Pelodiscus sinensis: one gene and its partners. The protein of the gene in region 2 interacts with the protein of the main gene of each other region in a biochemical or structural test. Links are inferred from orthologs where the notes say so. Each region holds a gene or a part of one and is shown on either strand. Other genes may lie near its edges. The genes, in order: RNF20, UBE2B, UBA1 and UBR1.

Region 1 (7,738 bases), on a different chromosome or scaffold from region 2:
CAAGCTCCACCGGATTTCGGGCCTGGTTGAGGCGGTCGTTGAACCGGGCCCGGTTCTGGTCCGGCCGCCCCGTGTAGGGCCGCATTAGCCAGGACAGCAGGGGGTAGGCCGCGTCCCCGATGACGCAGATGGGCATAGGCACATTCCTGACAGTCAAGTCCCGCCGGGGGAAGTAGGTGCCCGCCTCCAACCTGCGAAAGAGTCCAGAGTTGGGGAGGATACAGGCGTCATGTGCCCGGCCGGACCAGCCCCTGTAGATGTCCAGGAAGCGGCCCCGGTGGTCCACGAGGGCCTGCAGAACAATGGAGCAGTACCCCTTTCTGTTCATGAAATGGGCCGCTCGATGCTCCGGGTCCCAGACGGGGATGTGGGTTGCGTCCAGGGCTCCCCTGCAGTTGGAGAACCCGAGGGCAGCGAAGCCGGCCATGGTAGCATCCACGTCGTGCAGGCGGATGACTCTTGGGAGCAGGACGTTGTTGATGGCGTGGACGACCTGCAGAAGGGTGCAGAGAAACACAGGGGAACACATCACATACGGCAGAGGTGAGTGTGCGCTCCCTTGGGCCCCCCCTTGATTCCCTCTGTCCTCACGCACGCGCGCACACACACACACACACACACACACACCAGGGCCCCCCTCGCTCCACGGCCTCCCTCCCCCACCAGCGGGCCTGTGCAAGGGAGGGACAGGCCAAACCCCTGGGCGACCCAGCCTGGAGTCTTGGCTGTCCCTGGGCAGCACCCTCCCCCCATCCCACTCCCCCTGGGACTTACCTCCACGACGATCACACCGATGGTTGATCTTCCCACCCCGAATTGCTGTGCCACCGAGCGGTAGCTGTCTGGTGTGGCCAGCTTCCACAGCGCGATGGCGACCCTCTTGTTCACGGGGATGGGTGCCCACAGCCGGGTGGTGGCTCTCTGCAGTGCGGGGGTGAGCCAGGCGCACAGCTGCAGGAAGGTTCGCTTTCTCATGCGGAAATTCCGGAGCCATTGCTCCCACCAGTCGGTGCTGGTGTCCAAACTCCAGACTGGCCTCTCCACGGTGGGGTGCTTATGCCACAGGGTCGCCAGCGCCTCCCTGCTGAGGGAGTCGAATGCGATCTCTGCCTCCTGGTTCTGGAACACCAGGGCACCGGCCTACAGCACGAGCTGCAGGCACTTGTACAGCTCCAACAGGGGTCCGAGCAGGCACATGGCCACCCACAGCTCCATGGCAGACAGAGCAGGGCAGAAGAAACAAAACGCAGGAAAAAGCAGTTGGGGGCCAAAGGGTGGTGTCCCCAAAAGTAAGAGGGCAACCACCAAACCTGCTAAGGGTGTCAGTCCCTGCCAGAGGTCCCAACGCACGGGAGCATGAGACAAATGGCTGTCCGGCGAGACCCCTTTAAGCACGTGTCTGAACGGAGCTCTGGCCCCGCCCCCGGAAAGGTCTGGTGGCCTTTTGCCCTCTTCAAAATGGTTCTGGGCTTCTGCTTTTGCGAAAAAGCACGCCGCCAATCTAGACGTGCTTTTCCGCAAAAGCGCATCGTTATAACGATAACTCCGGGACCAATCTAGACGCGCTTTTCTGGAAATACTTTTAATGGAAAACCTTTTCTGTTAAAAGCATTTCTGGAAAATCATGCCAGTGTAGATGAAGCCTAGGAGTAATTGCAAGCAAAGAGGAATGAAAGCATATTTGTAAAAGAGAAAGTATGTAAATAATAATGTGCCACCCCCAAAGGGGTAGAAGTATGTTTTTTTTTTCTTTCAGAAAATCAGGACAAGCTGGTACCAGCAGAACCCCCTACAACACTATGGGGCTGTGTCTACATTGGCATCCTTTTCCGGAAAAGGGATGCTAATGAGACACTTCGGAATTGCAAAAGCAAATTTGAAAGTAGGAATAAGGGATCTTCCGGAAAAGGCTTTATTTTCTGCAAGATCCCGTCTAGACTGGCGCTTTTCTCCGGCAAAACCCCGAGCCGGAAAAAAGCGGCAGCCATGTTATGCAAATGCAGCGGGGGATATTTAAATCCCCAGCGGCATTTGCAATTTCGAAGTGTCTCATTAACATCCCTTTTCCGGAAAAGGGTGCCAATGTAGACACGGCCTGGATGTATTGTTGCAACAAAGATTGTTTTATGTTTTGTGTTTGTCTAACGTCTGTCTGTCTTCCTAGCTAGTATACTGTGTTAAAAAAATTATACTGCACTAGGCAGGAAAGGTTTAATAAGCATTATGCAATTTGAGTGTATTTACAGACACCAGTATCTCAAAAGAGTAGAGGCCAAGGAATTTGAATCTTGCTAATTGGAAAAAGTGGTAAAGGTTCATTTAAAAGAAAAACTGCATGGAGCACAAAGTTTATCTATTGATAAGAAACTTGAAGGAATAAACATAAAGCACAAGGTTAAATTACTAAACAAAAAGGATAGATATGTGAAAACATTGTGTAAAAAAAAAAAATCAGTGTTAATTGGAATGTTTAAATCAACTTTAAGCCTGTAAGGCAAGCTTAATGCACCTGGATGTTGCATACAATTGGAAGTTTACATCCCTGATTGTAAGGGGCAGTATTTCCAGTATTTCCAATACTGCCAGTATTTCCCCCTCTGACAATTATGCTATTGTTAGCAGGGAGTTTATGGGATCAGTACAGGAGGCATTTATTTAATGCTTGTACATGTAAAATTATTATTATACAAAATACTGTATGTGAAACATTAATTAGGGAATGTATGTAAGAGAGAGACAGTGCTTGGACAATGAATGAATGGTTTGAGAGGTGCCAGCCTGAGAATGCAGCATCTATATAAAATCTTATATTTTAGTTACCTGCAATAATATCATTAGCGCTTTCATGTTCAGTTCTCTGCACAATCATTGTCCTTCCAACATTCCTGTCCTGTTCATTAGTGTAATCCACACTATGGATGTGGAAAACTAACGCACAGAACAGTGAACTGACTTGCAGACAGTCACAGCACGTGTCTTATGTTTCTTACTGCTTTCCCTCTGGCCCTTGCTCATTTGCTTCACAAATTGTCAATATGCATTTTGGAGTTGTCAACTGAAGGGAGCATCTATGTATGCAGTGCCTGCCAACACCTATTCACCACCAATGGTCCCTGGCTTCGGTGCTGACTGAGAGAAGCCTGGCACCTGCTGGCTTATATTGCACAATGCAATTTTTAAAAAATAAACGGCAAAACAAATGTGCTGCCATCAAATTAACCAAGTAGCCACAACACATCAATTTGATCTGAGGAAGTGGGTCTGGGCCACGGAAGCTCATCACCTAATAAACCATCTTGTTAGTCTTTAAAGTGCTGCATAGTCCTGTCTTTTGTTTCAGCTAGACCAGACTAACAGGGCTACATCTCTTTTACTATTTCACAACACCTCGATTACCCCCACCCCACCTCTTTCAAGACTACACTTGAAAGAGAATCCTCCCAGCTGTCATTCATGCTTAAATTCGACACTTTACATCTAAGTTTGAATAAAGACTCTAATTATCTTGCCCATTACAAAGATAGCGTCCCCAATGATCACTAGCTCCCAGACATTTACCCCCCGCAGCCTCCTTCTGTTCTGAAATGTGATTTGTCCTTTTCATATGTGTTCATTTTTTTAATTGTATCCTATGGTTGTGACTATTTTCTTCCACTATTTGATCTGAAGTATCAGAGGGGTAGCCGTGTTCGTCTGAATCTGCAAAAGCGACGAGGAGTCCTGTGGCACCTTATAGACTAACTGAAGTGTAGGAGCATAAGCTTTCGTGGGCAAAGACCCACTTCGTCAGATGCATGTACATGCATCTGACGAAATGGGTCTTTGCCCACGAAAGCTTATGCTCCTACACTTCAGTTAGTCTATAAGGTGCCACAGGACTCCTCGTCGCTTTATTTGATCTGAGGAAGTGGGTCTGGCCCAGGAAAGCTCATCACCTAATAGCGCTGCATAGTCCTGTCTTTTGTTTCAGTGACACCAGACTAACAGGGCTGCATCTCTACCCCCACCTCGCTGGTGCCTCCCTCCTTTCCCCCCGGCTGGCTGGTTTGCACCCCCGCAGCTGCAGGGGCTAGTTAATATTCCAAGGTATTTAGGAAGTGGGGAGCCTAAATGCATTGGAGGAGCGAGGCCATGGGGTCGCCTACTCCCCCAGCTGCTGCTCTAGGTCCCCTGCTGTACCCCACTCGTGCCCTCAGCTCAGCCACGTCCCCTGACAAGAGGCAGGGCTGCAGCCGCCATGTCAATGAAGGGCGCCTGACTTCGAACCCCTAGGAACCAATGAGAGGCGGTAGCCATGGCAACTAAGGGCAGAGCGGCGGCAGAGCCTGTCAGGCGGTGGGCGGTGGCCGCCCTGTTGAGGAAGGGCAGAGTGGCTTCAAAGCCTCTGGCAGGCAAAGGGCGAGGGCAGCCATGTTTGTTGAGGGCACGCTGCCGGGCGACAAGCTACGTGAGACGCCGGCGGGGATTGGCTGAGCTGCTGTCACCGGCCGCTTCCTGCAGGGTCAGGGTTGGGAGGCCGGAGGTGAGGCCCGGTGGCTGGGCCGGGGGTGAGTCTCGGGGCTGGGGTGTTGCGGGGAGGAGAGGGGGCTTGGCCCGTGGGGGAGGGGCAGGGGGCTTGGCCCGTGGGGGAGGGGGCTTGGCCCGTGGGGGAGGGGCAGGGGCAGGGGGCTTGGCCCGTGGGGGAGGGGCAGGGGGCTTGGCCCGTAGGGGAGGGGGAGGGGCAGGGGGCTTGGCCCGTGGGGGAGGGGCAGGGGCAGGGGGCTTGGCTCGTGGGGGAGGGGCAGGGGCAGGGGGCTTGGCCCGTGGGGGAGGGGCAGGGGCAGGGGCAGGGGGCTTGGCTCGTGGGGGAGGGGCAGGGGCAGGGGGCTTGGCTCGTGGGGGGAGGGGCAGGGGCAGGGGGCTTGGCTCGTAGGGGCAGGGGCAGGGGCAGGGGGCTTGGCTCATAGGGGAGGGGCAGGGGCAGGGGGCTTGGCTCGTGGGGGAGGGGCAGGGGCAGGGGGCTTGGCTCGTGGGGGGAGGGGCAGGGGCAGGGGGCTTGGCTCGTAGGGGCAGGGGCAGGGGCAGGGGGCTTGGCTCATAGGGGAGGGGCAGGGGAAGGGGGCTTGGCCCATGGGGGAGGGGCAGAAGGGGAGGGGGCTTGGCCCCTGAGTGTGAGGGGGGTCGGGGGGGGGGAGTGGGGAAGTGTTCGCGGAGGGGGGGGCAGTTGGCCCCTGGCCTGGGGTAAGGGGAGCGGAGGCTCAGGCTGGGGCATGTAGGATGGGGGAGTGTCAGGGGCAGGAGGGGCTTGGCCCCTGGGCTGGGGGAAGGTGGGCTGTGGGGTATGGGGGAAGTAAGAGGAGGGGGACTCGCCCCTGGGATAGAGTAGAAGGATATCAGTTAGTTGGAGGTATGTAGGGGTCAGCCCCTGTTCTGTGTCTGGTGGGGAGGGGCAATATCAACGCTGAACTTGGGCTGGTTGGGTGAGGTGACTTGATCAGTGGGGGCTTTTTGGGGTGTGTGTGTGAGGGGGAGTGATGGGATAATCGCCCCTAAGGGTGGGGCGGTGCACACAGATATTTTCTGAGAGTGGTATTTTTTTTCTGTCAGCCTGTTGGTTTCTGTTAACAGTGCTCTCTGTGGAAAAAAACATCCCACAAATAACAAAAGCATGCTCCATTGAAAAAGAGGGACATTTTTAAACACAAGGAACTGAAAATCTTCCTTCAGTCACATTTTAGAGTGAGAAGGAGATGGCAGTGGGAGGATTCAGCTCATAGATGTTGGACATTTTAAGGTTCTTTATAAGACATTTAAAAGATGGTATGGACCTGCTATAAAAGTCTTGGAGAGATTTCAAAACATGAGACACTTGAGAGGGTCACTGTCAAGTTAAAATAATACATTGCAAACTAAGGGTACATCTAGACTACATGCCTCTGTCGCCAGAGGCATGTAGATTAGGCTACCAGACATAGTAAAATGAAGCGGCGATTTAAATAATCGCTGCTTCATTTAAACTTACATGGCTGCTGCGCTGAGCTGACAAACAGCTGATCAGCTGTTTGTCGGCTCAGCGCGATAGTCTGGACGCGCGGGTGTTGACATCAAAGGTATTTGTCGACCACCCAGGTATGCCTCCTGGGATGAGGTTTACCTGGGTGGTCGACAAATACCTTTGACGTCGACACCCGCGCGTCCAGACTATCGCGTTGAGCCGACAAACAGCTGATAAGCTGTTTGTCAGCTCAGCGCGGCAGCCATGTAAATTTAAATGAAGCGGCGATTATTTAAATCGCCGCTTCATTTTCCTATGTCTGGTAGCCTAATCTACATGCCTCTGGCGACAGAGGCATGTAGTCTAGATGTACCCTAAGTCTCTGATTGAGCAAAGCACTTAATTCACACACTGATTTGCTTTACTCACATATGCTTTCAAAGTAAGTGTCTGCATGTTTGCAAGCGAATTCCTTAGCTGTATTAGAAATACCGCTGTAAAATGGAAAGAAGTTTAAAAATCTGTTGATACTATATGTTTTGTTTACTTTTGCTTTTTGTTCAGCTTGTAGGTAGAGGCACATCTTCAGCTCCTGTGAATGGGCTCAGCATCAGAGAGGTTAGTGGAACTGTGGCCATTTACATCATCTGATGATATGGCCCTAAAAATTGGCTAGTCTGTTTCATGAAGGTTCACCTGTATTGGCACAGTCTTGCAATGTTTGGGTTAAAAATATTTCCAGGACATGTTTGTTTGTTTGTTTAACTTCAGTGGAGGAAAAAATCCTGTAATAGAAGTGGTGGTCTTGAGTTTTGAAGATTACTATTTTTAAAATGATTTGGGGGTCAAATTAAAATACTAACCTGATAACTAGTTAACTGAACTCTTGGCCTGGCTGGAGCATCCCTCCTCCCGCAGCGTGGTGGACACTGCCTGATTTGGAATGGGCCCATTGCATCATACTGTGGGAGTGGGGCTGCTCCAGGGTTAGCCAGTTAAACATAGCACTTAACCAGTTAACATTTTAACCAGGAATTTACATCCCTGGTTTGCTGCAGGATTCTCCACTCCTTCCTTTCTCAACATGTAGGTCAAGGAGTTTTAGTAAGCTTGTAAAAAGCAGCAGCTTTCAGTGGAATTAAAAGGACTATCCTCACACTTTCTCTCCAGTGATCCTATTTATAGTCTGCAGATGTTGGCAGATATGAAAAGATCTGCTGCTGAGTTTTGCCAGGGCAACCTGAGCCACACCATTTCCTTCTAGCACAGTTATAATAGAGTCAGGCTGCTGTAGACATATAGGATAGAAGGAGGAGTCTTACCAAACCCTTCATTCCTGAGTCCAGTCAGAATTAGAATGTAAGAATCCTCATCGGGAACATCACCGTCCCAATTCCCTGCGTCATCTGAGAACCTTTTGGTAACCTTTTGTAAATCATCAGCTGGAGCAGTTCTGCCCCTGTTCTTTTTGTCTGTTGATGTTTTTTATGATTGATCTTAAATAAAACATTTAAACGTGAACTAATTACAATAAAAATGCAGAGAAACAAGTAAAATACATTTATATAATGAGAAATTAACATTGAAATACCCATATTGCAGTAGGCCATTCAAAATAGGGAGCCCTGTTATGCTGAGAACTGTACAAATGTGTAAGATGCAATCTTTGCCCAAGGAGCTTAAAACAAATTCTCAGGTCTTGACAGGAGTCTCAGCCCCTGCCCTAAAGAGATTATGGATAAAATAAAAAAAATGAATGTATAT
Region 2 (7,229 bases):
CAAATTCCTGAACCCTAACATCCAGAAGTCTGTGGCTTGCTTAGTATCCTAACACTACATCTGACCCCAACACTGCCCAGCCTGGAGCCCCCTCCCTGAGCCAGCGTCCCCTTATTCACCTCCTCCTGCATCCAGATTTCCTCCCAGAGCTTGCACCTCTCACCCCTTCCCACACCCAAATCCCTCATTCCCACCCCAGAGCCTACACATCCTGTCTCAACCCAGTGAGGGTACGGCTAGACTGCAGGAGTTTTTCATGATTCTGGAGATATCCCAGAAAAGCTCTTCTGCATCCAGGGATGTTTGTTCTTCCGCTTTTTAGTGGAAGAGCAAACATGATATTTCGGTCACCCCTATATTCCTCTTTCCACGAGGAATAAGGGGGCTTCCAAAAGAAGGGGGTTTTCTGACATTTGGTCCAGTCTAGACAGGCCAAATGTTGGAAAAACCTCTTCCTACAGAAGAATTGGGGAAAAAAGCAGCAGTATAAGGATTGGGGATAGCAAGTGATGGAGAGGAGGAGAATAGAGAGGGTATGGCTTCAAGGAAGGGGCGGGGTGGTAGATCTTGGCTTGTTCTGTCATTTAAAAAGTGATCTTGGGTGTAAAAAGGTTGGAGACCACTGCTATAGGGAATCCTCAAAATTAGTCTGAGGCAGGCTTCCCTAATGTAGACTTGCTACCTCCATTTAGAGCCCCAGGATGGACTGAGGAGTAATTACTTTGAATGGCCCTGCAGAAGAGCTATTTTGAAATAGCAGCAGTGGACTATCCACACTACTGCTATTTCAAAATAGCTATTTTGGAATAGGCGTTATTCCTCATGCAATAAGGTTTACAGAAGTCGGAATAAGCTGTCCGTTATTTCAGATTTATTTCGAAATAATGGAATTGCTGTGTAGACGCTTGCATTTTTATTTTGGAATAACGGTCTTTATTCTGAAATAACGCTGCTGTGTAGATGCACCCTGAGACGCTGCTCCTGTCCTCCCCAGAGACATTGCAGAAGCCTGCATTGTAGACGTAGCCTTACAGTTTTATCACACCTCTCTTGATTTTTGGAGCTTCAGGGGGTAGCCAAGTTAGTCTGTTACAAAAAAAACAGCAAGCAAATGGTCTGGTAGCACTTTACCGTCTACATGTTTTGTTAGTCTATAAAGTGCTGCCAGACCATTTGCTTCTTGATTTTTTGAATTTTTCTTTAAGCCCTATTTTGGAGTCATATCATTACACGAGAAACTCAGCTATAATTTCTTTTTTAAGTTTCTAGTCCTCATGTTTGCAGGCGAAGTTTTGAAATGTAATTCAAGTATACGTCAAAGGCTTAAACACTAGATAAACAAACAAACAAACAAAACCCTACAATTAGAAGTGGTCAGAAAATTGAGATTTTTTTCTGTTGAAAATTTTGACTTTGTATCAAAAACCTAAAAACTGAAATGTTCTCATATGACAACTAGAAAATTTCCATTGGAAACAGACACTGAATTTTTGTTTTGTCAAAAAAAGAAACAAAAATACTCCCCAAAACAAATTTATATCAAAACTGTATTACCCAAAATATATTATTTTTAAATGTAATTATTTATAAGGCTATTGTGAGTTTTTGGAGCCTTGGGTCACAATATTTGAATGCTTCAGGGGATAGCTGAGTTAGTCTGTACAGGATAAACTTAAAAAACAACAGATTGTCTGGTAGCACTTTATAGACTAACAAAACATGTAGATGGTATCATGAGCTTTTGTGGGCACAGCCCACTTCTTCAGATGACCAGAGTTTATTTGAATGCTTAGGATTGGCACTATTGTAAAGAAAGGGGGAGAAACAATTAAATTGCACATCCCATTACCCCACAGCCTTTGGGCACCACAGAAACCCCTTCATGATGCAGCGGGGGAAGAGGCTTAATGGTAATTACGGTATGGCAATTTAAGACTTGAGCATGGTCTACATTTAAAATTTATATTGATGTAGCCACATTGGCAGTAGTGGGTACCTGCAGCTCGAGGGCTGCATACAGCCCATTGGGGCTCTGTGTGGACCTACAAGACATTTTGTTTACTGTTGCCCACACACAGGCTTGCCAGATTCTGCTGGGTTTTGTCCATCTTGTTTTTTAAGCTTAAAGCAAGGGCACATGAAGTGATGTATGTGCTAAAGTGATGTGTGAGAGCCCTGCACTCTCTTTGCAGCTCATCAAATGGCTGCTACAGTTCATTTGGCACACCCTGGAAATTCTAGGTACGCAAGTGCAGTTACCAAAACTACCCACTCCAAAGAGACTGTCTTTGTTACAACAATCCTGTGGCCCATTGAGATGAAGGAGGGCCACTCATGCAGCCCACTTATTAGCCTCGGTTGCCCATCCCTAACTTAGGACTTGAAAAATCCATACTTCTGAGATGCCAACCTCACCCTTAGTGTGGACACATCTTTGTCATTGAAAGAATGCTTCCATTGCCCTAACATATGTCACTCAGGGAGTTACTGTTTCTATACAGATGAGAAAACCCCTCTATCAGTGTAGGTTGAGTTTTTAGTACTGGGTTATGTTGTGGCAATATAGCTATACCAGTATAGTCCCTGTAGCATAAGCGCAGCTTCAACAATATGAGCTTCTTGGGGAACTGTGCTGGAAGCAGCATTAACTATGTCCTGAGTATAATATCCCCGACTAGGTCTGGTTTACACATGAAAGTAATTTTGGAATAAGTGTGAATTTAAAGCAGAGTAGCTATTTTCAAAAAGCTCCATGTTTGGATTTTTTTATTTTGGAATGAAATTGTCTTTCTCTGGTTTAATTCAATCCAGGTACAAAGCGTGAAAGGCAGGGAAGGGCCGGGGGAAGCTGCTGCCCACTTTCCCCACCCTACTGATCTATGAAGTTTTCATGCCCAGCCTCACACCTGGCTGTTGAGAGTAGGATAGGTGGGAATTTGTCAAGACTGCTCATGTGCCTAGGATGGTGATCACCAACCAGTCGATCGTGATCGACCAGTTGATCGCAGCGCCCCTAGGAGTCGATGGGCAACTGCCTCTCTTTGATCCAGCCCTGGCTGGAGCAAAAAGGGGAAGCCGCCCAGGTGGCTGCCCCTCTTTGTTAACTTGCTGGCGAGGGGGATGGGAAGAGGCATGCATCCCCAGCTCTTGTCTCCTGCTCCAGGAGGGGGCAGAGCTGGGCCTGCTCTGCAGAGCGAGGGCTGGGCGGGTGGCACACGTGGCATGGTAGAGAATGGGCTATGCCACGCTGTTCCCTGCGGGCTGTGTGCGGGGTTGAGGAGCCCCTTCCCCAGTGCCCTGCTGCATGGAGCCAGCCTTGGGCTCTGCCTGCCCCAACCCCAGAACCACTACCAGCAGGCAAAGGGCTGATCCGGGCAGGGAAGAGACTCTGCCCCAGTGCTACTCCCAGGAGGCTGCAAATCCCATCACAGGGCGGGGTTGCACAGAGGGACATGGGGTGATGGGGGGGGGGAGGGGAGAGTGAGGCTGGAACAGAGGCAAGATGACACTTTTACTTTGCAGAAGTTGCATTTTCCTTTACTCCCCACTTCTTTGCCTCCCTCCTCAATTATCTATTTGGCTGCATGCTCATCCTCTCGCCTTTTCTGTGATACTCCCCCAGCCCCCTTCGGCTCCCAAACTCCCTCTCGTACCCCCACCCCACCCCCTCTCCTGCCGCCAAACTCTCTTCCAGACCCTGCCAATGAATTAAGCTGTAAACCCCCTCTGTGATGGAAGCCTCTTCAAGCCAGGTGATGGGCAACACCCCCAGCTCCAGCGGCACCTACATGGGTGTGAGCTATTTCTTCATGTTCCTAAAGCCCGGGGAACCTGTCAGGCAGGGTCTGAGTGGCGCCTTCAGAGCGTTCTCCTGCCTCCAGGGCTGCTCCCTGCAAGCCGGGCAGGTCCGGGGACGCGATTCGCGGACAGCGCAGCAGCTCCCCCCACCCCGTGCGGGGCCGCTGCGCGTTCTGCGGCTCGACCGTCTGCACCTTGACGCCCCCCAGCGGCACGTTGGAGGGGTGGAAGCTCCCTCCCCCTCCCGGTAGTGGTGCGTTCCTCTCTCTCCGCCCTCCCCTCGGCAGAGCGAGTGGTACGGTCGCGGAGGAGCCTGTGACTTTCCCTCCCCCCGGCGGAGGGAGACGCCATTGCAGGGTTGTTTGTGTAGCCGCTGCGGGCTGGGGAGGGAGACCGCGGCGCGGTGAGCGGTGCCGAGGCTCCGTGGGGGCAGGGACTCTTTTCCCAGAGAGGATCATGTCCACTCCGGCCAGGCGGAGGCTCATGAGGGATTTCAAGAGGTGAGCGTCTCGCCTGGGAGGCTGCGCGCTGGGATCGCCCCCCCCCTCCCCGAGGGGGCACCAAGCTCCCCCCCGTGGGTCTCGCTGGCGCCCCGCTATGCCTTGCGCGGAGCAGGGCCCAGGCAGGAGCCGCCCTGCGGGGCTGAGCTCCAAGTTCCTGGAGCTGCTTTGTGTGGGGAGAGGGGTAGGAGCCCCTTCGGTCTGCATCCCAAGGGAGGCAGTGCGGGGGGGCCACCTCTCAGCAATTAAAATAGCGGGGAGACAGGGGGTCGGTGCACCCCCCATATTACCAGGAGCCCCCCCTGTGTGTTCCTGGAGGGCTCGGCGGGTAGCCCCCCTGTCGCTGAGGAGTGGGAGCAGCTCCTCTCCCTGGCGTGGGGATGGAGATGCAAGGGGGTTCCCTGTTTTGTTTCCGCCCGCTGCTGAGCTGAGGTTGGCCCCGTGAGCTGGGAGAGTAACGCCTAAGGAGCTGTCCCAAACCCACTTGAGGCTGGCACCCAGGAAGTGCCCCGTCCAAGCCTGCGATCCGTGCAGGGTGTAGGCAGATCCATCATGAATCCTGGGTATCTGCTTCAAGACCAGCCTGACCTGGTCTGGAGGCCAGTAGTAACACTTGGCTCTTGAACAGCACTCTCCTCAAAGGACAGGTCCATATGGCTGCCTTGTGTTTTACATGGGGAAATGGAGTCTGCAGAGGTGAAGCAAGTTGCCCAAAGTCAATAACAGAGCTAGAAATAGAATCCAATATGCTGACTTCCAGCTTAGAGCCCTATTCACTGGACTACATTGAATCCCTTAATTCCCCCCACTACATCAAGTATGTACTTCAGTCTAGGGCTTCTCCAGGTACAGGATTTAATCTGCTTTATCTTTGTCCTGTTTCTCCTCCCCTATGCTGGACTGTTCTTTGAGAGAGTTAATAACACAGAAACAAACTTCACTTTCCTTGAGAGCAGACACGATCTAGAATGCAAAAACCTCACTTTATGCTGGTAAAGGAAAATGCTGGTTTGTCAAAGGTCTGTTACTGGAGTTGGGACTACAGGATAAGCAGCCTTTTACCCCTGAATTCCTTGGGACGGAGATGCTGAAAGGACTTGGGTCTATATGGTAAATGCTGTTCCTACACATGCACATCAATAAGAAAGTTAACATCTCCTATCCCACTAAAGATATTGGTTAAACCTCTGCTTCTGTAGAAAGGAGTCTGTTTTTGTTTTTATTTAGAGTTACTTCCTCTAAAGTTCTCTGCTCATTCCTGTCTTCAGGATGCCTTATGTCTTTAAAGCAATAGCCACTCTCCTTTTTCTGTCAACATGAGAAATGTCCAAAGAGCCTTTCATTATATTGCATGTGGTCTGTTAGACAGCCTGTATCATTCCTAAAAGCCACTGTTTATAGACCAAGCGTTTATTTATAACATTTAAAGTAGTACATTATAATTATATCAGAGATTCCATGATGCAGTAACTCTCTAATATAAGGGAATTAGCTCTATGATGTCAAACTTTGCTTCAGGCTGGAACTTGACAGAGGAGAGAATATTGAGCCTGTAAATATTTATGCAGGTTTCAAATGCCCATCTGTACTCTCATTATTCAAATATCTTGGTTTTTTTAAAAAACATCTCTGGAGATCCGGCATCAACATTCTCTCTTGTTGGTTTTAGTAACTTTTTTGTGGGCCTGGAAGTGAAATGCTTAGTGAGTAAAGCTAAATTTTTCAGAGATGAGTTCCCTCATGGGTGGGACAGTCCTCAGTTTTTGGGAACCTGCCTTGAGATAGTTTTTTGGTGGTCTTCTACCCTTCCTGCCGCTATCCTCCCACTGCTGAAGAGCCACAACTCCAGCTGAAGTGAATAGAAGTGTCAGATTCTTGGCCCTTCTGAATGAAAGCTTGTCTCAGTCTGGGCACCTAATTATGCACACTGAACTGATAAACACTTCTGGACTCTTGTACATACTATTCTGGTTGATAACTTCTGTCTCACATTGTTTAAAATGTTGTGTAAACAAGGACCTTTTGCTATATATTAGCAAAAACATAGTTATATTCTGTTTAAAAATTATGAGTAGCCCTGTGGCACCTTAGAGACTAACAAAGTATAAATAGTATCATGAGCTTTCATAGGCAAAACCCACTTCATCAGCTCCTCTGTTCATCACCTGATGAAGTATGTTTTTCCCACGAAAGCTCATGATACTATATATATTTTTGTTAGTCTCTGAGGTGCCACAGGACTACTCATCATTTTTAAACAGAATATAACTATGTTTTTGCTAATATACAAATGGAAATAGAAGGTGCCACAGGACCACTTGTTGTTTTTAAAGTTACAGACAAACATGGCTACCCCTCTGGCGCTGTCTACACAGCTTCCCTCTTCCACAAAAGCCTGGGCAAATGAAGCGCAGATTAGCATACTGTCTCACTTCATTTGCATAATTAATTAGGAGCTGTTTTTGCACAAAAAGCACCGTCTACACAGCGCCTTTTTGTGCAAAAACCCCCCTCTTGTGCAAGAGCCGTTTTTCCTCATTTTTTCAGGAAGAACGGCTCTTGCTCAAGAGAGGGGTTTTGCGCAAAAAGGCGCTGTGTAGATGGCGCCTTTTTGCACAAAAACCTTTTGTGCAAAAAGGGCTCCTAATTATGCAAATGAAGCATGGCTATGTGCTTCATTTGCAGTATGCTAATATGTGCTTCAATATAGGCTTTTGCAGAAGAGGGAAGCTGTGTAGACATAGCCTCTGAGACTGTTTAAAAATGGTACATGCTGAGCTAGAGAGACTCTTTTAGCAACTGTTCCAGTTTGTCATTTAATTACATGTTATATACTACATCTGTTGTGCATGTAGAAAAAAATTAAAAGCTAATTGTTATAGGCTTTAAATTGTATGCTTTGTTTCAACATGATATGAATTAACGTAGCTG
Region 3 (7,673 bases), on a different chromosome or scaffold from region 2:
CCCCGCTGCCCCCGACCTAGTTCTCTCCGCTCCGCCGAGCGCTCCGCCCCGCGCGGCTCCGGGCTGCGCTGGACTCGCTCCCCGGCGGCTCGGGGGAGGCAGGCGCAGCGCCCCGCGCTCCGGCCATGGGCCCCTGCGCCCGCGGGGCGCGGTGACCGGACCCAGGTAAGCCGGGGCGGGGCGGGGCGGGGCCAGGGGGGGCGGACGCCCGGGTTCGCTCCCTGCCTCCCGGGGAGTGAGGGCCAGTGGTTGGATCAGGGGGGCTGGGAGACCCCACGCCTGGCTTCCCTCCCGGTCTCCCAGGGGAGTGAGGGCCAGTGGTTAGAGCAGGGGGGCTGGGAGACCCCACGCCTGGCTTCCCTCCCGGTCTCCCAGGGGAGTGAGGGCCAGTGGTTAGAGCAGGGGGGCTGGGAGACCCCACGCCTGGCTTCCCTCCCGGTCTCCCAGGGGAGTGAGGGCCAGTGGTTGGAGCAGGGGAGCTGTGGTCCTGCATGCCTGGCTTCCCTCCCTGCCTTCCAGGGGAGTGGGGGCCAGTGGTTAGAGCTGGGGGGGGGGGGGCTACGAGCCCGGACGCCTGGCTTCCTTCCCTGCCTCCCAGGGGAGTGAGGGCCAGTGGTTGGAGCAGGGGAACTGTGGTCCTGCATGCCTGGGTTCGTTCCCTGCCTTCCAGGGGAATGGGGGCCAGTGGTTAGAGCTGGGGGGGGGCTAAGAGCCCAGACGCCTGGGCTCTCTCCTCGCCCCCCAAAGGAGCAGGGCTGTGGGCACATTTGGGGTGGGCTGTTGTGTGGGGCAGTCTGGGGCAGGTGAAGTTTGGCAAAGTTAAAAGTAGCTGAAGGTTGGCCCCGCCGAAGGGTGGCACTAGGGGGCGCTGTGCTTGGGGGTGTGGCAGGGGGCATTCTGGGGGGCTCCCATTGTGCTCCCTGCCATTGTCAGTTCTCAACCCCTCCCCAGGGTGTGTGTCCCCTGCTGGCGGGGCTGGGCCCCGTGCTGTGGGGTGTGCTGCTGGCTGCGGTGGTCTCACATCTGTTGTCTGGCTACAACGCTGAGTTGTGTGTGGCCTTGCACTTGGGCTGTGTGGTGTCTTCGTGCCCAGCTGGATTGTGTGTCTGTTCCTTGTTGCGTTTGTGTGGTTGCCGTGTGTTTGTTTCCATGTTCCGTGTGTGTCTGCGAGGCTGGGGTCTTTTGTGTATTACAGTGCGTGAATGCGGCTGTGTTGTATCTGTTGCACTGTGTGCTCCTGACTGTGGGGCATGCGTCACAGTGTGGTAGTGTGTGTCACAGCGTGAGCATACAGTTGTCTTGGTGTTGTAGGTATGTTGCAGTGTTTGTATGCAGGGTTGTGGTGTCAATCACAGTGTGTGTGTGCAGTAATGTATGCATCAAGGTGTGTGTGCAGTTGTGGGGTGTGTGTCAAAGTGAGTCTATGATGGCGGGTTGTGTGCATATGGATGGGGATTTCACAGTGTGTGGTTGTGGGGTGTGAGTGTTGCAGTGTATGCATGCAATTGTTTAGTATGTGAGTGTTGTGGTGTGTGAGGTTGTGGTGTGTTGCAGTCCATATGTAATTGTGATGTGCATGATTGTGTGGTGTGTTTGCAGTTGTGGTGTGTGTCTGTGTGCAAGCAATTGTGCGGTGCACATGTGTGCATGGTTGTGGTGCATATGTTATAGTGTGCATGCAGTTGTGGGCTGTGTGGTGCAGTGGGTGTACATTTGTGGAGTGTGTCACAGTGGGTGTGTAGGGTTGTGGGAGTTCTGTCCCAGTTTGGAGGAATTGTGGGGTCTATGGATGTGAGGTTGTGGAGTGTATGTGTGGTTGTGGGATGTGGGGTGCAGTGTGTGTGTGTGGTTGGGGTTTGTGGTTGTGGAGTGTGCGGGGGGGGCTGTGGGTCATGTGTCAGGGTGGGGAGATTGTGGGGTGTTGCAGTGTGTGTGTGGTTGTGCAGTTGTGAACTGTGTGTAATTGTGGAGTGTGTCAGTTTATGTGCAGTTCTGGGATGTGTATGGTGTATATGTCTGGGTTGTGTGTGGAATGTTGAAGCGTGTGGGGTTGTGAGGTATTTGTTATAGTGCAGTTTTCAGATATGTGCAGTTGTGGGTATGTGTGGTTGTGGGGTATTTGTCAGTGTGTGAGTGTTTGTGTGTTTGTGATGTGGTTGTGGGAGTGTCATGGGTGTGTGTGTGGTTATGCTGTGTGTGTAGTTGTGGGGCGTATGTCACAGTAGGTATATGGTTGCGGAGTGTGGGGAAGTTGTGTGGTGTGTGCCACTGTGTGTATGTGTGTTTGTGGGGAAGTGTCGCAGTGTGTAGTTGTGGGGTGTGTGTGCAGTGGGGTTAGGTATGGGGGTTTCATGGTGTGGGGGGCGGAGGTGTCACAGTGTTATAGTAGGTGGGTATCGGGGAGCGTGGGGGGAGTTGTAGTGTGTGTGTTGTGGGGGGTGCAGTGGTGTGGGGCATGGGGGGTTGTGGAGTGTATGTGCATGGTTGTGCAGGTTTGTGGGTTGTGTTGAGGGACGGGGGTGTTGCAGGAAGTGTCAGGTGATTGTGGGGTTTGTGTGCAGTTCTGTGGGCGTGAGGTTGTGGGGGGTGTCGGGGGGTGAGGTTGTGGGGGGTGCAGGAGGGGGGATGCTGGGTGTATGTGTGTGGAGGGGTGCTGTGTACCTGTCTGGGTTGCGTGTTGCAGTTGTTGGTTGTTGGCTGTTCCCTCCCATGCCCCCCCCCCCCCCCCGTTATCCCTCCCCACAGGTTACACCAGGTTCCGGCTCCTGTTGCCTTCAAGAGGCTGTAGCCAGGTTGCCATGGCAACAGCCAGGGTTCTTGGGGTTACCGGGGCGATAGGAGGGTTCTGGGTCCATCTGTCCAGTTGTCACCAATCGGCGCTTGGCGGGGGGCAGGCGGGGTCCTCCCAGCCCGGCCCTGGGCTCCCCGCCCTGCCGGTGCCCCTCACTCCCCACCCGCAGCCCCCCAGCCCGGCCCTGGGCTCCCCCCGCCCGCCGGTGCCCCTCGCTCCCCACCCGCAGCCCCCCAGCCCGGCCCTGGGCTCCCCCCGCCCGCCGGTGCCCCTCGCTCCCCACCTGCAGCCCCCCAGCCCGGCCCTGGGCTCCCCCCGCCCGCCGGTGCCCCTCGCTCCCCACCCGCAGCCCCCCAGCCCGGCCCTAGGCTCCCCGGCCGCCGGTGCCCCTCGCTCCCCACCGCAGCCCCCCAGCCCGGCCCTGGGCTCCCCCCGCCCGCCGGTGCCCCTCGCTCCCCACCCGCAGCCCCCCAGCCCGTCCCTAGGCTCCCCGCCCTGCCGGTGCCCCTCGCTCCCCACCCGCAGCCCCCCAGCCCGGCCCTGGGCTCCCCCCGCCCGCCGGTGCCCCTCGCTCCCCACCCGCAGCCCCCCAGCCCGGCCCTGGGCTCCCCCCGCCCGCCGGTGCCCCTCGCTCCCCACCCGCAGCCCCCCAGCCCGGCCCTGGGCTCCCCCCGCCCGCCGGTGCCCCTCGCTCCCCACCCGCAGCCCCCCAGCCCGGCCCTAGGCTCCCCGCCCGCCGGTGCCCCTCGCTCCCCACCCGCAGCCCCCCAGCCCGGCCCTGGGCTCCCCCCGCCCGCCGGTGCCCCTCGCTCCCCACCCGCAGCCCCCCAGCCCGGCCCTGGGCTCCCCCCGCCCGCCGGTGCCCCTCGCTCCCCACCCGCAGCCCCCCAGCCCGGCCCTGGGCTCCGCCCGCCCGCCGGTGCCCCTCGCTCCCCACCCGCAGCCCCCAGCCCGGCCCTGGGCTCCCCGCCCTGCCGGTGCCCCTCGCTCCCCACCCGCAGCCCCCCAGCCCGGCCCTGGCTCCCCCGCCCGCCGGTGCCCCTCGCTCCCCACCCGCAGCCCCCAGCCCGGCCCCTGGGCTCCCCCCGCCCGCCGGTGCCCCTCGCTCCCCCACCCGCAGCCCCCCAGCCCGGCCCTGGGCTCCCCCCGCCCGCCGGTGCCCCTCGCTCCCCACCCGCAGCCCCCCAGCCCGGCCCTGGGCTCCCCCCGCCCGCCGGTGCCCCTCGCTCCCCACCCGCAGCCCCCCAGCCTGTCCTAGGCTCCCCCCGCATGCTGGTGCCCCTCCCTCCCCACCTGCAGCCCCCCAGCCCGGCCCTGGGCTCCCCCCGCCCGCCGGTGCCCCTTGATCCCCACCCGCAGCCCCCGAGCCCGTCCTAGGCTCCCCCCGCATGCTGGTGCCCCTCCCTCCCCACCCGCAGCCCCCCAGCCCGGCCCTGGGCTCCCCCCGCCTGCCGGGGTATCAGACCCCAGGGGGCAGCTGCTGACCATTGGTTTCATGCCCGGGCTGGGAGCCAGGACTCCTGGGTTAGCCCCGATCTAAGGGGGCCATGAAGGACATCCCCCAGCCAGATCCTGTAAGGGGGGTTCAGGGCCCGGGCACTGCCAGCCCCAGCATAGAGGGGCTGGCTGGCGGAGCAGGGGGGCTGAGTGGCAGGGGAAGGAAGGGCTCAGCAGAGGGTCTGGCTGTGTCTCCCCAGGATGCCGTGGGGCTGGCTGGCGGAGCAGGGGGGCTGGGTGGCAGGGGAAGGAAGGGCCCAGCAGAGGGTCTGGCTGTGTCTCCCCCAGGATGCCGTGGGGCTGGGCTGGCGGAGCAGGGGGCTGGGCGGCAGGGGAAGGAAGGGCTCAGCAGGGGGTCTGGCTGTGTCTCCCCAGGATGCCGTGGGGCTGGCTGCGGAGCAGGGGGGCTGGGCGGCAGGGGAAGGAAGGGCTCAGCAGGGGGTCTGGCTGTGTCTCCCCAGGATGCCGTGGGGCTGGCTGGCGGAGCAGGGGGGCTGGGCGGCAGGGAAGGAAGGGCTCAGCAGGGGGTCTGGCTGTGTCTCCCCAGGATGCCGTGGGGCTGGCTGGCGGAGCAGGGGGGCTGGGCGGCAGGGGAAGGAAGGGCTCAGCAGGGGGTCTGGCTGTGTCCTCCCCAGGATGCCGTGGGGCTGGCTGGCGGAGCAGGGGGGCTGGGCGGCAGGGGGAAGGAAGGGCTCAGCAGGGGTCTGGCTGTGTCTCCCCAGGATGCCGTGGGGCTGCCTCCGGCTGCGGGAGGAGAAGAGCTACAGCAGCGTGGGCGACATCACGGACAAGTACGAGATCGGGAGCTGCTGAGCGTGTGAGTGTTTGGGGGCCCCTCCCCCCCCGCTGCCCCAGCCGCAGGGGCAATCGGTCGTTCTCTGCCTCAGTTTCCCAAGCAGGGGAGAGAGGCTGAGGGGGGAGGTGGATCGTTTTACCAGGCTCCAGGGGAGCCACCTGAAAGCAAAGGGGCCGCCCTCCCTCACTTTTCCCGGGAGCCTGGGGGGACAAGGCAGGAACCTGGACCCAGGGCCGGAGCAGGCCTTGGCGTGGCCCGGTGGGGAGGGGCACGTGGCTGGCCCAGCGGGTTGGCACTTGGGCGGCTGGGTGCTCGCTGGGACCCCCTAGGCCTGGCCCAGGCGCCGCGATGCCTGGAGAGGAATGCTGTCCCAGTCCGCCCAGCCTGTCCAGTTTCCCCAGGACTGGCTCCCCCAGCACCCCCATCTGTGGCCTGATCTTCTGTCCTGGGCGTGGCAGATTCCCATTGGGCCAGGCAGCTTGACTCCCCATTCCTCCCCCCAGGGTGAGTCACCCCAACATCCTGCAGCTCATCGACACCTTTGAGACGCGCAAGGAATTTTACATCATCCAGGAGCACAGCAGCCAGCAGGGGGAAACTGAGGCACGCGGCAGGCTGGGAAGGGTGGTTGCAGTTAGGATGACTGTGAGAACGGGTGGTGCTGGGGGTTGGGGGGCGGGGCTATGGGAGGGGGGGCTCTGTACGATCTCCCCCCTCCGCCCCCAGGAAGGAGTTTTGCGAGCTCTGCCTGGCCCGCGAGCGCCGGAGCGACCGGCTCGTCGTCTGCAAGCGGTTCCGGAAGCGGGACGGCAGGAAGGTTCGCCAGGCGGCCCGGAACGAGATCCTCATCCTGAAAATGTAGGTGCCCACGGACGCGAGGGCCCTGAGCGCCTTCGGCACCTCGCTTTCCTCCTCCTGAGCCCCCCTGGCAGCAAGGCAACGTACCAGGGGGAAACTGAGGCAGGCCTGACCTCACAAAATCCTCTTGAGGGTGCATATTTCTGGCCCTGCTGTGTCTTTCTGTTGGCCCCTGGTGTGTCCACCTGAGCTCCCTGGCCCTGCCGGGGGTGCCTGCTTCTTTGCGAGTGCCTCCAGCCAGTCTCTCCCCTTTGGTGCATGGAGGAGGGAAACTGAGGCAGGCCCCAGCGTCCTTGCGCTTGCTAGAATTGTCACGTGAGCATGAGCCTGCTGCCGTTGGCCGTGCTGAGCGGGGGGAGGGTGGGTCCCCGCGGGGGGGGGGGGGGTCCCTGCAGCAACGTGGGGCAGGCTGGAGGGGGGGGTGTCCCGGCTTGGGGGTGGGGTGGCACCGGCTCTGAGGGAAGCGGTACCGTGGGCTTGACTTTCCCTTCCCTCCCCCCAGGGTGAGTCACCCCAACATCCTGCAGCTCATCGACACCTTTGAGACGCGCAAGGAATTTTACATCATCCAGGAGCTGTGAGTAGGGGGGGCACCGCAGGGCTGGGGGGGAGGGGACCCTGGGGCCGTGGCTGGGGGGGGAGGGGAGCCTGGGGCCGTGGCTGGGGGGCGCCAGGGTTTGGGAAGGGGGGGTCGATCCTGCCCTTGCAGCAGAGGGAGCAAAGGGGGTACAGGCCGTGGGGACCCTGGAGTGGTCCGAGGGGCCATCCTGGGCGGGGGGGAGCAGGCTCCGTGGCTGGGAACGGGGGGTCTCCGGGCTCCCCCAGGCTAAGCCAGTGCGGCGCTGCCCCGGCAGGGCGACGGGCGGGGACGTCTTCGACTGGATCCTGGACCTGGGCTGCTACTCGGAGCGAGACGCCAGCAGCCTCGTCCGGCAGGTGCTGGAGGCCCTGGCCTACCTGCACGGCCTGCACATCGTGCACCGCAACCTCAAGGTCAGCTGCCCCCCAGCCCCGGGCCCCCCTCCAGCGCTGCCACCGGGGCCAGGCTAATCCCCTGCTCTGCCCACCAGGCCATGCTCCCCTCCCGGAGCCGGGGGGAGAACCCAGGCGCCCCGGCTCCCAGCCACTCGCCCCGGCTCCCAGCCCACTCGCCAGGGTTTTGGGAGGTTCGCTGGCTGGTTTCTTTAGCTCACATCCTCCCTCTGGTGGCCACTTCTGTGCTGTGCCCAGTAGGGTGGGGAGGGGAGGGGGCAAGCTGGCTGGGGGGGGGGGGGGGGGAGGAGCAGCTGGCTAATGTGGGGCAGACAGCCTGAGGAAGGAGGTGGCAGAGTTGTGGGGGGCTGACAGCGAAGGAGGCGCTGTGGGGCTGGCAGGGGAAGGGACGCTTTGGGACCGGTGCAGTGGGGCTGGTGGGGGAGGGGGCGCTGCTGTGGGGCTGGCGGGGGAGGGGCGCCATGGGGCTGACGCTGTAGGCCGGGCGGGGGTCTGACGCCCGACGTACCCCCAGCTGGAGAACCTGGTCTACCACACCCAGCAAAGCCGCGCCAAGGTCGTGTTGCGGGATTTCTACCTGTCGCGCTTTGAGAACGGAGCCATCACGGAGCCCTGCGGGACGCCCGAGTACCTGGGTAAGGCCCCCCATCCCCGTCCAAGCCACCTCCTCCTTGCCTGAGTTCCTGAGATGCCCTCCAAGTATCTGTGCCCTCCCCCCGTCACCAAAGCGTGGGGAGT
Region 4 (7,302 bases), on a different chromosome or scaffold from region 2:
AGGAAGGCAGATTTTGGTAAGCTCAGAGAGCTGGTAGGTAAGGTTCCATAGGAGCAAAACTGAGGGGAAAAACAACTGAAGAGAGTTGGCAGTTTTTCAAAGGGACATTATTAAGTGCCCAAAAGCAAGCTATTCCGCTGCACAGAAAAGATACAAGATATGGCAAAAGACCGCGTTGGCTTAACCAGGCGATCTTGCGTGATCTAAAAATAAAAAAGGAGTTATGTAAAAAATGGAAACTAGGACAAATTACAAAGGATGAATGTAGGCAAACAATACAGGAATGCAGGGGCAATATTAGAAAGGCAAAGGCACAAAATGAGCTCAAACTAGCTACAGGCATAAAGGGAAACAAGAAGACATTCTATAAATATATTAGAAGCAAGAGGAAGACTAAGGACAGGGTAGGTCCATTGCTCAGTGAGGAGGGAGAAACGGTAACAGGAAACTTGGAAATGGCAGAGATGCTTAATGACTTCTTTGTTTCGGTCTTCACCAAGAAGTCTGATGAAGGAATGCCTAACATAGTGAATGCTAGTGGGAAGAGGGTAAGTTTAAAAGATAAAATTAAAAAAGAACAAATTAAAAATCAATTAGAAAAGTTAGATGTCTGTAAGTTACCAGGGCCTAATGAAATGCCTCTTAGAATACTCAATGAGCTGATAGAGGAGATATCTGAGCCTCTAGCTATCATCTTTGGAAAATCATGGGAGACAGGAGAGATTCCAGAAGACTGGAAAAGGGCAAATACAGTGCCCATCTATAAAAAGGGAAATAAGAACAACCCAGGAAACCACAGACCAGTCAGTTTAAGTAATTAAGGAAATCATCTGCAAACACCTGGAAGATAATTAGGGTGATAGGGAACAGCCAGCATGGATACGATTTGTTCTTTACAAGTCAAACCAATCTGATAGCTTTCTTTGATAGGATAACGAGTCTTGTGGATAAGGGAGAAGCAGTGGATGTGGTATACCTAGACCAGTGGTCCCCAAACTTTTGGGGCTGCCGGGCGCCTGGGGGCTGGGCCGCACACACGCCGGGCACTCGGGGGCGGGGCTGTGCACACGCCCGGGGGTGGGGCCACCCATACGCTGTGTGCCCAGTGCCGGTGCCACCCATGCGCTGCACTCCCTGGGCTGGCGCCGCTCCTGTGCCGCACAACCAGGAGCTGGCATCACCCACGCGCTGTGCGCCCGGGGCCGGTGCCGTTCGTGCGCTGCATGCCCAGGGGTGAGGACGCCCATGCACCGCGCGCCCGGGGCCGGCACAGCCCATTCACCGCGTGCCTGGTTCTGGAACAGCCCTTGTGCTGTGCACCCGGGGCCGGGGCCGCCCATATGCTGCATGCCCGGTGACGGTGCCACACATCCGCCGCACTCCTGGGGCCCGCACCGCTCCTGTGCCGCACGCCCAGGAGCCAGCAGCGCCCATACACTGCGTGCCTGGAGACGGCACAGCCCTTGCGCAGTGCACCTGGGGGCGGAGCCGCCCATACGCAGCGCTCCCGGGCCCGGCACAGTCCTTGCTCCGTGAACCCAGGGGCGCGGCCACCCATGTGCTGCGTGCCCAGGGGCCAGCACCACCCATGCCACACGTGCCCGGGGGTGGAGCTGGCCCCGATCACTTGGCGGGTGCCCAGAAATGGCCCAGCGGGCGCCATTGCACCCGTGGGCACTGCATTGCGGACCACTGACCTAGACTTTAGTAAGGCATTTGATATGGTCTCACATGATATTCTTATCAATAAACTAGGCCCGTGGTCCCCAACACGGTGCTCGCGGGTGCCATGGCGCCCGTGGGGGCATTCGTGTACGCCCGCCACGTGCCCGGGGCTGGCCTGGCCCTGGGCACGTGGCGCATGCACAGTGCCGGAGCCGGCTCCAGGCGCATGGTGAGCGCCGGCCCCGGGCACTTGGGGGCGCCGGCCCTGGGCGCGCGGCGCTTGGGGGGGAGGGGGCGCCGGCCCTGGGCGCTTGGAGGAGGGGGGGCGCCGGCCCCGGGCGCACGGAGCTTGGGGCGGAGGGGGCGCTGGCCCCGGGCGCGTGGCGCTTGGGGGGGGCGCCGGCCCCGGGCTCTTAGAGGAGGGGGGGCGTCGGCCCCGGCCCCCAGCGCTTGGAGGAGGGGGGGCGCCGGCCCCGGGTGCACGGAGCTTGGGGGGGAGGGGGCGCTGGCCCCGGGCGCGCGGCCCTTGGAGGTGGCCCCGGGCACTTGGAGGAGGGGCGGGGGGCGCCGGCCCCGGGCGCGGCTATGGGGGGGGTGCGGCTATGGGGGGGCCCTGCCCCCGTGCCCGCCCCCTGGTGCCCGGCGGGCGAACGGCCACGCCCCCTGGCGCCCGGCAACCTCCACAGGTTGGGGACCACTGAACTAGGCAAATACAACTTAGATAGGGCTACTATAAGGTGGGTGTATAACTGGCTGGATAACCGTTCTCAGAGAGTAGTTATGAATGGTTCACAATCCTGCTGGAAAGGTATAATAAGTGGAGTCAACCCCTTGGTAGCGGCTACCGAGGGGTTAAATATTGGAATAAATTGCCAAGGGAGGTGGTGGAATCTCCTTCTCTGGAGATATTTAAGAACAGGTTAGATAGACATCTGTCAGGGATGGTGTAGACGGAGCTTGATCCTGCCTTGAGGGCGGGGGGCTGGACTCGATGACCTCTCGAGGTCCCTTCCAGTCCTATGATTCTATGATTCTATACACTGGCCCTTGAATTTCCGGAAAAGCAACAATGCTCTACTGTACAAAATCAGCCACTATTCCGGAAAAACTATTCTGCTCCCGCTCGGGCATAAGTCCTTATTCCGGAACACTGTTCCGGAAAAGGGCCAGTGTAGACAGCCCAGTAGTCTTTTCCGGAAAAAAGCCCCGATCGCGAAAATGGCGATCGGGGCTCTTTTCCAGAAAAGCGCGTCTACATTGGCCACAGACGCTTTTCCGGAAAAAGGGCTTTTCCAGAAAAGGAGCCTGCCAATGTAGATGCTCCTTTTCCAGAAAAACTGAAAACGGAATAGTATTCCATTTTAAGCATTTCCGGAAATTCATGCCAGTGTTTAACTGAAAGGAAAATGAAAGACAATTAGGATAGTATAACCTAAGTTCTGAACAATGTAACAGAGTATTTAAAGGCCTAGAGGTCTTGAGACACATACCCATATAAGAGGCTCACAATCAAAAGCGGATTAAGCTTTTGTGGGGTTCTGGGCCAGAGCAAGTGAAGAACCCCGTCACTCCTTATGCCTGTAGTGTCTCCTTGGAAGAATATGGGCAAGAGAGAGAGGATTGGGAATGCAGGATGGATGGAGGAAGAGACTGAGAGGGTTTGGAAGTTGTGGTAAGAGGAAAACAATAAACGGGGATGAGGTAAGTAATAGGGAATGGAAGAGGGTGAGAACTGGGAGGGGACAGTAGGGGTAGCGGAGGGATAGGGGCATAAGTACAGGTCATTGAACATTCTCCCTTCCTATTTGTGGGCCCAGATGTAGGGGAAAAGGAGAAACCCTCCCAGCAGGTCAGGGATTGTATCTGAACCCCTCCTGACATAGTGTTGTCTACACTGGGTTAAGCTGGTATAACTGTTGCTCAGGCATGAGGATTTCTCTCACACCTGAGCAATTTAGTCAGGGGTGGATATAGGGCAGGGCGAACGGGGCGGTTGCCCCGGGCCCCGCGCTTAAAAAAGCCCCGCTCATGCGCCGTGGCAAAGGGGGGGGGGGCCGCAAAACAGTCATCTGCCCCTGAATTTAGTTATATTGATGTAGGCCTCTCATTTCGACTTGGCCTTATTCCAGAATACACGTGCAAACGGGAAGTTCTAGAAGCATAGTCATTTAACTATTCCGGTATGACTGGTAAAAACTTTCTAGTGTAGACAAGCCCTTAATTAAACCAATGCAAATCTCTGCACAAACAACCTTATTTCTGTTCAAGAGCAGTTGATTGCCAACATACCCATGTTCACAAAGGGCTCTGCAATGTTTCAACAACGTGGGCTTGCCCCTCAGAAGAAACCCTGAAGAGAAATGCAGCCTTAACGTAACAGTCCTTCTGCTTCTATGTTCTGGTCACCCCCGCTGGCTGCTCCCTTCGAAGGTGGCTTCTGCCACGCTAGCCTTAGGACGCTGTGGCCCCGCCCGCCGTTGGCTTTTCCCCTGCCTCTGTGCCGGAAATAGGCTCGGATCTGAAAGCAAGTAAAGGCAGCGGCTTCAGCGGTTGTGACTGCGCAGGCACAGGTCGGTAGCGCATGCTCAGTGGCAGCTAGGTGCGCTCACAGTCGGGAGGCAGATTCGGCCGCTAAAGCTTGGCCCGGCTGCCCCGGCAACTTGTTTCCGGTTGGCTCTGCGGGGCGGGGCTTGGCAGCCGTGTCTTTTGCCCTCAAAATGGCGGATGGAGGAGCCGGAGCAGGAGCCAAGGGTGGGGATTCCGTGCAGCTCCCGGAGCGGGCCATGGTGAGACTCCTGCCCTGTGGGTTCTTCCCGGGAGCCGCCCACGCCCTGCCTGTGGTGACCTGGTAGCCGCTGGAGCCCCCAGCGGAGGGGAGCCTCACCCCCTGCCCGCGTGGGGGAGCAGTGACCCCTTGGTCGCCTTCCCTCAGAGCAGGTGAGGGCCCCCTGGGCAAGGACCACCAGGTACCTGCCCAGTGGGGACTTGCCCACTGGAGTGTGACAGCACCGCCACCGAGTGTGGACGCACCTGTCCTCCCTTTTGCCCATTGTCTGCCCTGCATGCAATGGCTGTTTGCAAGTGGCACAGTTCCATGCGAGGGTGACACTCGTGCGCTGTGTAGAGACCACTAAGCCCACAGTAAGAGGAGCAGTGACAAACTGTCGGCTGCATTGTAGAGATGGTCTTCAGTGAAAGGTGGGGTAAAGGTATCATAGCATGGACTTGAGATAAAGGATGATGGCAGTATTTTGCTTAAATGCAAGTTTCCCTGTGTTGGAATAACAGACTGATAAATACTAAATAGCCACTCAGTTGCAAAGCAAATATGGCCCTGATGCCCCAGCAAAGCAGAGTAGTCAAATATACCCCACGATATTGTGGAGCAGGATGTTACAACAAGCAGTTACCTAATAAAGGGTTATCTGTTGTGTACATTTGGTTTGCTAGTGAAAAGTAATACCTTCCTACTATGCAGGAAGGGGAGGATTCTCCTCATCAAGTGCTTTGCTTGAAGTTGCATAGAATCAGTTGTTGAAAGTGATTAAATTAAATCATCTGCCTCATAATTCTATTCTAATCTGAAGGTTGTCTTGGAGAATAATCTGATTTTTTTTCCATCTGTCTACATACACATGTCTCAAATTAGGGAAAAGGCCCCTTTATTAGCGGCAATATGCTTCATGCACCAAATAAGTTATATTTATGTTGAAGCTGAAGTAGAATAAATATTTGCTAATTTCTGGGTTGTTATATGTAATATACATTTGGGGGTCCTTTATTATTTGTCACTTGATTTGTATTTGTGTCTATATGTGTATATATAACTGGATCTTATTTTCTTTCATCAGCCAGTGGAAAGCTGAAGGCTTCAAATGAAAATAAAGGGAACAGTATTGACTCAAAAATTTAAACATAAAATCTTGCTTGAAAACACTAGTTTGAAAATCTGTTAAAAATATTGTAGTCTAGTCTCCTGTATCAGGTCAATGTTAAGTGGGAATTACATACTAATTAACTATTTTATTTCTGTATCTTGTATTTCTAAAGTAGACTTTAGAACTACCCAAGAATGTAGTCAGTGTCTAATGTTGGGAGTCATCAGAGCTATAGACTGGGCTCCAATGTTCCATTGATTCTACTTTAGCAAAACCACTGTTTTGTGTACTAACATAAAATTAAAACATAGAGTTTATTTTAAACATGGGGTAGGAATTCCAGCTGCTTGACAGAATAGCAGGGAATTAAAGTGATTGGTAAAATGGTGTAGGATTGAACTGACTGATATCATTCGACATTCAAACATACATACTTGCAGAATAGCATACAGAAAAATGTGACATCGTGGTGTTGAATTTAAATTCAGTGTATGGATTAGTAACTTAAATAATAACAAGCCTGTTGCAAGGCATTTGATACTTTGTGATCTACAGATGAAAATCATCTTAAAAGTCTGGTTGTGTTCCATTTCCATACACAGCTGTTCAGATAGCCATAAGTAGTTTATGGATTAGCTACCGCTATCTTCTTGAAAATGATATAGTACACAGTCCCTGCCACCCCACACCCCCGGAGTGTTTTTATCTCCCAAACTCTTCCAAGGAAATGCTCATTTAAATGAAGCTTGTCAAAAACATCCACAGTTCTTTCTCTTTTCTTCAGGGCAAAACTGCTTAGCACAGAATAGAGATCAAGATTTTGAAAGGCCTTAGTAAAATTACACATGGAAAGAAATTGTTCTGTATTCATAGGAAAATTGTCTGAATACCACATAAGATTCCTTTCCCAAGAGTTCTTAATGATGTGAAATACCATAAGCCAACATTTCTACAAACTAAAAGTCATATCCCTCTGAAGAGACACTTAAAAATGACTGGTTAATGTTTCTTAAAGATAACAAACCAAATGCCCTAAATAAAAATATGGTTTCTCCTTGAACTTTCTTTGACAAAAGATGCAAAATGAGAAATCCCGAAGTTAGTGATTTTTTTTTTCAAAGCAGCACATTGAGTTCAAGAGAAGTAGTCAAAATCCAAATCCAGATGCTGGAAGAGAGAACATGCTGAAGGGGGAGGGAAAGGGGGGAAAAAAACATAGGTAGATGCACTAACAAAGGGCAGTAAATAGGGGAATAAATGCAACATAATCTCACCAGAAACCCCAGCTTCTTTGAAGCAAAATGCAGGACAATGTAGCACTTTAAAGACTAACAAGATGGTTTATTAGATGATGAGCTTTTGTGGGCCAGACCCACTATTTGATCTGAGGAAGTGGGTCTGGCCCACGAAAGCTCATCATCTAATAAACCATCTTGTTAGTCTTTAAAGTGCTACATTGTCCTGCATTTTGCTTCAAAGAAGCTGGGGTTTCTGGTGAGATTATGTTGCATTTATTCCCCTATTTACTGCCCTTTGTTAGTGCATCTACCTATGTTTTTTTCCCCCCTTTCCCTCCCCATTCAGCATGTTCTCTCTTCCAGCATCTGGATTTGGATTTTGACTACTTCTCTTGAACTCAATGTGCTGCTTTGAAAAAAAAAATCACTAACTTCGGGATTTCTCATTTTGCATCTTTTGTCAAAGAAAGTTCAAGGAGAAACCATATTTTTATTTAGGGCACTTCTTTGCTATACTTAAA

The links.
Region 1: the proteins of UBE2B (region 2) and RNF20 form a complex in vitro, tested with the Homo sapiens proteins (4 studies listed by BioGRID, with this or other methods). The link is inferred for Pelodiscus sinensis from reciprocal best matches to the Homo sapiens genes UBE2B and RNF20.
Region 3: of the proteins of UBE2B (region 2) and UBA1, one has a biochemical effect on the other in vitro, tested with the Homo sapiens proteins (10 studies listed by BioGRID, with this or other methods). The link is inferred for Pelodiscus sinensis from reciprocal best matches to the Homo sapiens genes UBE2B and UBA1.
Region 4: the proteins of UBE2B (region 2) and UBR1 form a complex in vitro, tested with the Homo sapiens proteins (2 studies listed by BioGRID and IntAct, with this or other methods). The link is inferred for Pelodiscus sinensis from reciprocal best matches to the Homo sapiens genes UBE2B and UBR1.

The regions. Positions count from the first base shown.
Region 1 is NC_134716.1:7,956,421-7,964,158, reverse strand, and holds the start of RNF20 (E3 ubiquitin-protein ligase BRE1A), read left to right. Parts: upstream 1-4,444; 5' UTR 4,445-4,547; intron 4,548-5,364; exon of another isoform or gene 5,365-5,386; intron 5,387-6,538; 5' UTR 6,539-6,592; intron 6,593-7,738. UniProt on the Homo sapiens protein: Component of the RNF20/40 E3 ubiquitin-protein ligase complex that mediates monoubiquitination of 'Lys-120' of histone H2B (H2BK120ub1).
Region 2 is NC_134727.1:28,263,179-28,270,407, forward strand, and holds the start of UBE2B (ubiquitin-conjugating enzyme E2 B), read left to right. Parts: upstream 1-4,094; 5' UTR 4,095-4,254; coding exon 4,255-4,298; intron 4,299-7,229. UniProt on the Homo sapiens protein: E2 ubiquitin-conjugating enzyme that accepts ubiquitin from the ubiquitin-activating enzyme E1 and transfers it to a E3 ubiquitin-protein ligase. In vitro catalyzes 'Lys-11'-, as well as 'Lys-48'- and 'Lys-63'-linked polyubiquitination.
Region 3 is NW_027465846.1:72,836-80,508, forward strand, and holds the start of UBA1 (ubiquitin-like modifier-activating enzyme 1), read left to right. Parts: upstream 1-4,323; 5' UTR 4,324-4,338; coding exon 4,339-4,365; intron 4,366-5,010; coding exon 5,011-5,105; intron 5,106-5,810; coding exon 5,811-5,942; intron 5,943-6,444; coding exon 6,445-6,519; intron 6,520-6,796; coding exon 6,797-6,935; intron 6,936-7,449; coding exon 7,450-7,570; intron 7,571-7,673. UniProt on the Homo sapiens protein: Catalyzes the first step in ubiquitin conjugation to mark cellular proteins for degradation through the ubiquitin-proteasome system.
Region 4 is NC_134714.1:67,178,562-67,185,863, reverse strand, and holds the start of UBR1 (E3 ubiquitin-protein ligase UBR1), read left to right. Parts: upstream 1-4,255; 5' UTR 4,256-4,382; coding exon 4,383-4,451; intron 4,452-7,302. UniProt on the Homo sapiens protein: E3 ubiquitin-protein ligase which is a component of the N-end rule pathway. Recognizes and binds proteins bearing specific N-terminal residues that are destabilizing according to the N-end rule, leading to their ubiquitination and subsequent degradation.